2 linked regions of the Caenorhabditis elegans genome follow. The protein of the gene in region 1 purifies or fractionates together with the protein of each later gene. This does not show direct contact. Each region holds a gene or a part of one and is shown on either strand. Other genes may lie near its edges.

Region 1 (4,842 bases):
TTCGTTTACCTATTTACCTATTGCGAAATTGCCCATTCTGTTGCAAGAGCTGATTTAGTTTAGTTTATTATTATTATTGGATAAAGTTTCGCTGGGAGCAAAGAGTTGCGGGGGATTGGAATTCAATAAGGGTGAATTGGAAAATGTTTAGATTCTCGAATGATTGTTGATAGATTCGATTTGCTCTAACTTTCAAATAAACATAAAACAATGGGAAAGAGAAACGAAAATGAGAGAGAAAAAATCGGGGAAGGAGAATCTTGTGTAGTTGGAAGTTGAGATCAAGGAAGATTTAATCCTTTCCAGGTAAACGTGCAAAAAATGCTCCAAGGATAAAAATCTCATCAATTGCAAATTGTTTTTATAATTGAATGGGGTTTCTGAGAGATCATAAAGGAAACGAGTGTGAATTCTGACTACAACAGCTCAATCACCCCTAAAATATTAAAATGCCTAAAGTTCATAGCTGTACTTGAAGATAAATACGGCCAATGGCGGGGAAATGATTAAAAATCATTTATATGGTGCTAAAATAACAAAGTATCATAGTAAAACGTTTCTAAAAAATCTCAGAAAATTTTTCTTCGAGTCAAAAAGCAGGGCAAAACTGCTTCTTGACTCGAAGGAATGATTTTTAAATAATTCACCTATTTTTTGGAAGTCGTCGATTATTATTTGTCTTCCAGATTTATGTATATGTGGTCAAAATCCAATAGTCTAGGGTTTGAACATGCGACAGTGCTTTAGATTTTCGAAAAGTAATTCAGACTCAATTTTGACCGCTTTTTGAATAAAGAGAAAGCATTTTCCAAATTTTTTTGAAAAGTTATTTAGATTTATATAAAGGATTTTTTATTTAGATTTATATAAAAGATTTTCAATTTATTTTTCTGTCTCAGTAAACCCGTTCAGAATATACCCAGATTTAAACCAAATTAAAACCGTACAAGCCTATATTATGAAAAATTCTAATTTTGGGCAGATGTGAACCAAGATTGTCTAGATCCAAACTTAATTTGGATAGATTGCACGTTTGAGTAGATGTAAACTGAATTTGTGTAGGTTTGTGTAGATCCAAATCGATTTTGAGTAGATCCAAACCAAATTTGTGCAGATAAATTCACAATATAGGCTTGTACGGTTTTAATTTGGTTTAAATCTGGGTATATTCTGAACGGGTTTACTAAGGTCGTACTCTAGCTTTGAAGCAAAAAAATTGAAATATTTTGATTTTTAATCAAAAACTTGCATTTAAAGAGAGTCCAGTCAATATTTTAGTGAATTGCCAAATTTTTTGACTGAAAAATGAAGGGTTTTAAGAATTGCAGAGTATTGTTGCATGTTATATCCCTCACGATGTTTTGATGAAGATACAAATAAATCTTTATTTGTATATTGAATTCCAATAAAAATCTATTTTCTTCCAAACCGACTTCCAAAGTTATGACGGTACTTATCCTTTTCTACCCACCACTTTTTAAAGATATTTAACATACATAATATTTCAATTTTAATTCACAATATTCATCTTACAAGATAGTTTAAAAATATACTATAGTTTATAAATGAATTAAAAACATTTTATCAGAAATCTTGAAAAACGTAAACTTAAGTTTGTTTAAGAAGTTTTTATAAAAGATTTCACCACGTGGTGTTCCACGTTTTAAAACATAATCCCCGAAATAATCCAATCACATATCGATTTATTTCACATTTTATCACAATTCTATTAAAATTACATCGATTCAAACAAAATGAAGGTAATGTTCCTTGAGTAAATTCTTCCGGTCAAGTAATTAATTTATTTACAGAGTAAAAAACAAGAAAAAACTAAAAAATCGACAGAGTCTTCTACCAAGAGCGGAAATTCAAAAATTAAAAAGGTTTCTGATAATGCCTTCAAAGTAAGTTTCAAACAACTATAGATGTTGAAAATGAGATACGTGTTCAGAAACTCCGAGTCCCGAATCGACTACATCGTGAAACGTTCAAAACCTTGATGATTTCTAAGAAGCAAAATACAATTTCTGCTGATAAAAAGACGGCATATGAGATGAGAACGCTTGGCGGACAACATAAAGGATTTTTGAAAATTGATTTACCCTCGGAAATCATGAACAATCAGGCACAGTAAGCTTCTGCTAAGTCAATTAATAGGCACATAACGTTCTATTTTAGCAAAGTCGGAATGCCTGATCGTTACTCAACAACCTTGTTTGCACCGCCCGTTCCAGAAAACAAAGCTCAAATTCATTATTTGTACAATACATATAATTTTATGGATGATCTTACAAAATATGACATTTATCGACGAGCTGCACATTTCTTCATGATGATCCCGACGAAGAAAAGAGTTTCTGATCGAGTGAAATTGGCTGGGTAATTTTAATGATTAGGTTTGAATATAAATGAAACCAAATTTTAGAACTGCAGTGTGCTCAGTTTTCGACGTGAAAAGAAGAAGGGAAAAACTCAGATTGCGAGGAAGATCGAGACCTGATTATTCAAATTATGGTAAACGAATGTTGGAGTCACCGAGAATGTTGGTAGCAAAGTTTCTGGTTAGTAATTCTTCATTGAAATTGTTGTTTTTGCTTCAAAAACTTGTGAATTTCTTAGAAATACGGTCAGCCATACTTTGGCCAACTCATCACATCCCATAAAGAAGAAGCAAATAAGATGACAAAGACGTTGGTTGAGAACCTAAAAGAGAATCTTCGCACAAATACGAAGGAAACAAAAGGCCGCATTCTGGTTGGACGATTTGCAAATTTTATGCTATTTATTCATTATATTTTCAGAAGTTCTTGAGGCACAATCACGATTGGATGAAGGATCGGATGCTGTGCTGTCGGGATCCGATGTTTCTCAAATTTAACCGCAATCGCTTGTAGTATGTTGGAGGGCTCAAAATTAAAATTCTGAGTAGCAAAATTAATAATTTTCAGCACGAATGTTGTGAAACACCACCAATCAATGCCCTACCGCAAACGTGGAGATCAAGATTTGTTCAGCGAATTCAATTTTCTGTCACCCCATCTCGCATTTTCTGTTCATTTCTGCCGAGTTATCAAAAAGTTTCGAATCAATATGGCCAAGGAAGATGAAGTGCTACAAAAGGTTCAAAAAGCTCCTCAATAACTTAATTGTTTAATTTTACAGCATTGCAAATTGAAAACATTGATCCGTGTGCGTACTTCTCGATATGCTCATTTTCCAGCAATATCGGTTGTCAATTGTTGGTGGCTTTTGAGTATAAGTTGATTAATTTTAAAAATATTTCAGACAACAGTGGTAATCAGCTTCAACTTACGATTCCTCGAACTCCGAAGCGTCCTCCTTCTATTGTCACTGTCAGTGGATACTCAAGTGACAGTGCAAACTCAGCTGGAACTGATACTCCATTGGATTGGGAACTTGATTGGAAGCTTACTGACACTGTAATGGAGCATCAGATGACTTTCACGGGAGACACGGTAATTTCGTTTCGTCTTGATGGAAAATATAAAACTAATTTCAGAGTCGATGCAGTGTTCAGCGAGCTGCGGAAAAGAATTTCAATAGACGAAAGTGGCGAGAAATGACAAGAAGAAAGCAACTTTTGTTTAAAGCGGATTCACGATTTGAGTTGCAAGACACTGTGCCAATTTTTAAACAGGTGGGAATATAAATTTAGAGATGTTGACTTTATACGTTTTTTCCAGCTCACCACAATGCATCCATCACTAATTTACTGTAAACTTCGTGGAATGGAATTGAACAAATTGGTTCGGAGACAGTCCTCTGAAAAATCAGATGCCCCATCAGTAGCTCAAAGTGCAACTTCATATTTGTTTCAACAACGCATTACTTTCTTGGAGAAGACACTTCCATCTAAGAATGATACGAAAATTGTGCTTACTCCCGGATGGAGAACGTTTGCAATCAGGGAGAAATCTGAGAAATTTCCAAATGTCTCAAGAATTGTAAGTTATGGTATTTAATGGATTTAAAAAACCCACAAAATTTTAGTTGAGACAAAAAACTTCGTGGGTTTCGAAGAATTGTATGTCGAGAAGTGCAACAGTTCCAAGATGTGACAAACTTCCAATGGTATCTTAAATTCCTACCGTCTGAAAAATTAAATAAAAATAATTTCAGACTGTTGAGGTTCCACACAAAAAGCTGCTCCTCGTTCTTATTCTGCTTCTGACACTCGGATTGGTCATCGCTGCAATTGCCATGATCAGTTTTTTGTAAACTCGTTAATTCATGTTTTTTACAGTATTATTTATTCATTCTTGAAAGACAATAAAAAAATATTATAATTGTGCTTAGTATAAAAATTAGTTGAGAATTCGATTCGAATAAACGATTGCAAGTATTCCGAAATTTAAAATGTATTTATCAAGAAACTCTGAAAACGAAGTGAAGTTTAATTTGTATTGTTTTATAAGTATGAATTGTAGAACACAATTTTATTTTCAATAACCAAACCATCTGAAATACAAAAGAAATAAAAGAAGATTGCACAATTAATGAGAAAAATACACCGTTTAGCGGCGAGTTCCGTCCTCGAAGAAGACTCCTCCATCGAGAGCGCAGTACTTTGGACAGATTCCCTTCTCTCCTGGAGTTCCGGCTTGTCCTGGTGGTCCTGGTGGTCCAGCTTGTCCATCGACTCCTGCTGGTCCGTCTGGTCCTGGAGATCCCTTTGGTCCTGGTGGTCCTGGTGGTCCGTCGTTTCCTGGAGCTCCTGGTGGTCCTGGTGGTCCGGCTGGTCCTGAAAACAAAGAAAATTGTAAGGTATTGTTTGGAACAAGAGTCAACGGGAAACTTACCAGCATCTCCTGCCTCTCCTGG
Region 2 (4,831 bases), on another chromosome or scaffold:
GTCGTCGTTGGTACAAAAATTATTAAAAGCAACAAAAAATGCTTCAAAATTAGCAAAAATTAGCAAAAAATTTCGCCGCCAATTCCTAACGAGACCCAACTTTTCTTTTGGCGTTGAAGCGGGATTACATTTTTATTTTTTATTTTCAAAAAAATCCAGCTTTCCGTTTTTGCAAATTATTCGAAAACAAATATTCCTTCAAAAGACGAAAAGTTTATTTTTCCTAAACTACAGTAATCCTACAGTACTACTACAGTACTCCTACAGTACCCCTACAGTACTACTACAGTACCCCGACCATATCCCCCCCACTAACCCCAAACCAATATCCATTCAAAAGAGAAAAAGTCAAATTTCCCTAAACTACAGTAATCCTACCGTACTCCTACAGTACCCCTACAGTACTACTACAGTACCCCGACCATATCCCCTTACTAAATTTTTCAATTTTTCAGGTTTTTGAGATACTTTTTGGACTTTTCCAGCAAAAATTTGAATTTTTTCACAAATTTCCAAATTTCTACCTTCATCCAACGCAATACAATGATTGGATCCAGACGCCACTTGTACAATATCATTAATCTCTTGAACACGTCGTGGTGTTCCCTGCCACGTGAATTTACTCTCCATTCCGAGTTGTCCGTGCTCATTGGAGCCCCAAGCGAAGACACGCCCATCGTCGGTTACGGAGACTGTGTGAGAACGGCCAGCAGAGATCTGAAAAATGGAATTTCTACGAGAAGGCGATCTATGGAAATTGGCTCTGCGAAAAGGAGATCCACGGAAAATGGATCTGAAGTAAGGGAATTTATGAAAAAAGCATCTACGAGAAGGTGATCAACCAGATGGGGATCTATGAGAAGGGGATCTGCGAGATTATTATTTTCGAAAATCGAATCTACGAAAGGGAGATTATACGGAAAGGCTATCTTTGAAAATGGGATCTACGAAAGGGGGAATTCTACGGAAATGGGATCTACGAGAAGGAGATCTACGGAGAGGGTAATTATGGAAAAAATCTACATTAAAGGCAAAAAGGGATCTATGGAAAATATATGTACAAAAAAGAGCATCTACGAAACGGAGATCTACGAGAAGAGAATCTACAAAAAAAGGGATCTGGGAGAAGAGGATCTAGGAATTAGCCATTCTACGAGAGGAGAATCTATGGAAAAGGATCTACAAAACGTCGTTCTGCGTAAAGGAGATCTCCGAGAAGGGAAGTCTATGGAAGGCAGATCTATGAAAAGAGAATTTACAAAAAAGAGAGCTGCGAGAAGGGTGATCTACGAAAAGAAGATCTACGGCAAAGGAATCTTCGAGAAGGGAGCTTGCACGAAACAGAGATCTACGAAACGGGAACCAAAATTAATTCTATGAGAAGGAGATTTACGAGAAGTGAATCTACCAAAAGAGTATCTGGGAGAAGAGGATCTAGAAATTTGCTATTCTACGAGAAGGGGATCAACAAGACGGAGATCTACGAAACGGGGATCTACGAGAAGAGAATTTACGCAAATGGGAACTATGGGAAGAGGATCTGCGAGATGGAAATCTAAGAAAAGGGGATTCCACGGAAAAAGAGTTTACAAAAATGAGATCTACGGGATTTTCTCGCCAAAAACTAGGGAAAAACGAAAAATTTTTTATTTTTCAAATGTTATTTAGCGAAAAAATATGGTAAAATCATTTTCTAATGGATTTTCGCCAAAAAAAAAACTCAAAGTTACCTGAATAATTTTCGCACTGCTTGTCCAAGAAACCGGATAAATCGAAAAAGAACCCTCAGTCCGACTGCCTCGTCCCAATTGTCCATCCATATTACTACCAACACTCCACATTTTGCCATCTTTTGTCAGGAATACTGTATGTTGTTCACCACACGTGACTGACGTCACTGCGGTTCCATCCATATCATTTGGAGCGCCAACTGAAATTTTGAACAATTTTCAGAGAAAATTCCGAGACGATTTTAAACTATTTTCACACAGTTTTTAAACAAATATTCAAAAAAAAAGAGTTTTTTAAAGATGCATACAATTTTGCTCCAAAGTAATCAATTTTTTTTCGTTAGGCAAATTGCCGATTTGCTGGAAATTTTCATTTTAGGCAAATTGCCGATTTGCCGGAAATTTTAATTTCTGGCTTTTTGCCGATTTGCCGGAATCTATCATTTTTGAAAAATTGCCGATTTGCCGGAATCTCTCATTTTCGGCAAATTGCCGATTTCCGGAAATTTTAAGTTCTGGCTTTTTGCCGGTTTGCCGGAATCTATCATTTTCGGCAAATTGCCGATTTGCCGGAAATTTTAATTTCTGGCTTTTTGCCGATTTGCCGGAATCTATCATTTTTGACAAATTGCCGATTTGCCGGAATCTCTCATTTTCGGCAAATTGCCGATTTCCGGAAATTTTAATTTTAGGCAAATTGTGGATTTGCAGAAAATTTTAATTTCTGGCTTTTTGCCGATTTGCCGGAATCTATCATTTTTGACAACTTGCCGATTTGCCGGAATCTTTCATTTTAGGAAAATTGCCGATTTGCCGGAACCTTTCATTTTAGGAAAATTGCCGATTTCCGGAACCTTTCATTTTAGGCAAATTGCCGATTTGCCGGAAATTTTCATTTTAGGCATATTGCCGATTTGCCGGAAATTTTCATTTTAGGCAAATTGTCGATATGCAGAAAATTTTAATTTCTGGCTTTTTGCCGGTTTGCCGGAATCTTCCATTTCCGGCAAAATGTCGGTTTGCCATTATTTCTTTAAAAAAGTTTTTTTTAAAGTTTTGTGAAAGATTTACAAAAATCTTCCAATTGTTTTTTTTTCATCCGAAATTTTTTAATTTTTAAAATTTAATTTCGGAATTAATTTTTTTTTCTGTTTTCTAATTTCTGCAACAAAAATAGCTCCGTACTAATTCTCTCGGGAACTTGAATCGTCGACTCGGAGAGCCGAACGCCGAGCTGTCCCTCGCCCGTGTGTCCACATCCGAGCAGCTCAGCTCGCATTTTCTGAAATCTGATTTTTTTAACAATTAAATTTTAAAAAAACAATCTAGAAAATATCATAGTGTGATCTCAACAACTTTAGTTTTTGAAGCAGTATCAGAGGAAAAAATCTGAAAAAAAAATTCAAATTTTTTCAAAAAAAAAAATCAAATAACAACTGCAACAACAATAAAGGGAACACGTTGTGACAGAATGTCTCATTTCGGTTTGATCTACCTAGATCTACAAAAAATGCGGGAGTTGAGACGCAGAGTTCTCAACTGATTTTGCACGATTAAAAACGTGCTGACGTCACAGTTTTTTGGGGAAAAATTCCCGCATTTTTTGTAGATCAAACAGAAATGAAACACTTTGGCACCACGTGAGGGAACAAAAAAAAATCGGTGGCCGAGTTTTTTCCACACGGCCACGTAGCAGAATTTATAACTGTGTAGGGGATAAATGGAGATAAATTAAAGGAGAAAAAAGAGATAACAAAAAAAAAACAAATTATTCAGTCATTTCTTGAACATTTTCTTCTGGAATTTCCAGAGTTTCAGCAGATTCTGGAGCATCAGTTGAGCTGCTGGACGGCTCCGCAGCCTTTGCGGCTTCTTCCTTGCGAGCCCACGCGGCTTCACGGTCTTGGGCGGCCTGAAAAATTGATTTTTTGGACAAAAATTTAACTTATTTCTCATGAAATTACTAACAATTTGTGAAAACTTCCAAAAAAATTTAGTTAAACTTTTTTATTAGTTTTTTTTCTTCAATTTTCAAATTATCCTATTTTTCTAAAAATAACAATTTTCCGGAAATTCTAATTTCTGGCAATTCGCCGGTTTGCTGATTTGCCGAAAATTCTAATTTCTGGCAATTTGCCAGTTTGCTGATTTGCCGGAAATTCTAATTTCTCGCAATTTGCCGATTTGCCGGAAAATTAAAATTCTGGCAATTTGCAGAAAATTTGATTTCTGGCAATCTGGCGGTTTGCCGATTTGCCGGAAATTTTAATTTCTGGCAATTTGCCAATTTGCCGGAGATTTTAATTTCTGGCAATTTGTCAGTTTGTTGATTTGCCGAAAATTCTAATTTCTGGAAATTTGCCGGCTTGCCGATTTGCCGAAAATTCTAATTTCTGGAAATTTGCCGGCTTGCCGATTTGCCGAAAATTCTAATTTCTGGCAATTTGCCGGTTTGCTGATTTGCCGAAAATTCTAATTTCTGGCAATTTGCCGATTTGCCGGAGATTTTAATTTCTGGCAATTTGTCAGTTTGCTGATTTGCCGGAAATTCTAATTTCTGGCAATTTGCCGGTTTGCTGATTTGCCGAAAATTCTAATTTCTGGCAATTTGCTGATTTGCCGGAGATTTTAATTTCTGGCAATTTGTCAGTTTGTTGATTTGCCGAAAATTCTAATTTCTGGCAATTTGCCGGCTTGCCGATTTGCCGAAAATTCTAATTTCTGGCAATTTGCCGGTTTGCTGATTTGCCGGAAATTCTAATTTCTGGCAATTTGCCGGTTTGCTGATTTGCCGGAAATTCTAATTTCTGGCAATTTGCCGGCTTGCCGATTTGCCGGAAATTCTAATTTCTGGCAATTTGCCGGTTTGCTGATTTGCCGGAAATTCTACTATCTGGCAATTTGCTGATTTGCCGGAAATTTTAATTTCTGGCAATTTTTCGGTTTGCCGGAAATTTTAATTTCTGGCAACTTGCCGATTTGCCGGAGATTTTAATTTCTGGCAATTTGCTGATTTGCCGGAGATTTTAATTTCTGGCAATTTGTCAGTTTGTTGATTTGCCGAAAATTCTAATTTCTGGAAATTTGCCGGCTTGCCGATT

Evidence for each region.
Region 2: the proteins of ZC513.3 (region 1) and herc-1 fractionate together in Caenorhabditis elegans (co-fractionation; one large-scale study listed by BioGRID). This does not show direct contact.

Annotation. Positions count from the first base shown.
Region 1 is NC_003283.11:8,045,290-8,050,131, forward strand, and holds ZC513.3 (Protein kinase domain-containing protein), read left to right. Parts: upstream 1-1,716; 5' UTR 1,717-1,754; coding exon 1,755-1,760; intron 1,761-1,811; coding exon 1,812-1,904; intron 1,905-1,951; coding exon 1,952-2,130; intron 2,131-2,178; coding exon 2,179-2,379; intron 2,380-2,425; coding exon 2,426-2,561; intron 2,562-2,619; coding exon 2,620-2,754; intron 2,755-2,801; coding exon 2,802-2,893; intron 2,894-2,948; coding exon 2,949-3,120; intron 3,121-3,162; coding exon 3,163-3,238; intron 3,239-3,285; coding exon 3,286-3,476; intron 3,477-3,520; coding exon 3,521-3,658; intron 3,659-3,704; coding exon 3,705-3,965; intron 3,966-4,011; coding exon 4,012-4,092; intron 4,093-4,140; coding exon 4,141-4,239; 3' UTR 4,240-4,306; downstream 4,307-4,842. Other genes in the region: col-43 (Nematode cuticle collagen N-terminal domain-containing protein), read right to left, coding at 4,536-4,762, 4,821-4,842.
Region 2 is NC_003279.8:1,209,673-1,214,503, reverse strand, and holds the start of herc-1 (HECT domain-containing protein), read right to left. Parts: upstream 3,020-4,831; 5' UTR 3,010-3,019; coding exon 2,916-3,009; intron 1,931-2,915; coding exon 1,731-1,930; intron 718-1,730; coding exon 525-717; intron 1-524. Other genes in the region: nsun-2 (tRNA (cytosine(34)-C(5))-methyltransferase), read right to left, coding at 3,499-3,642.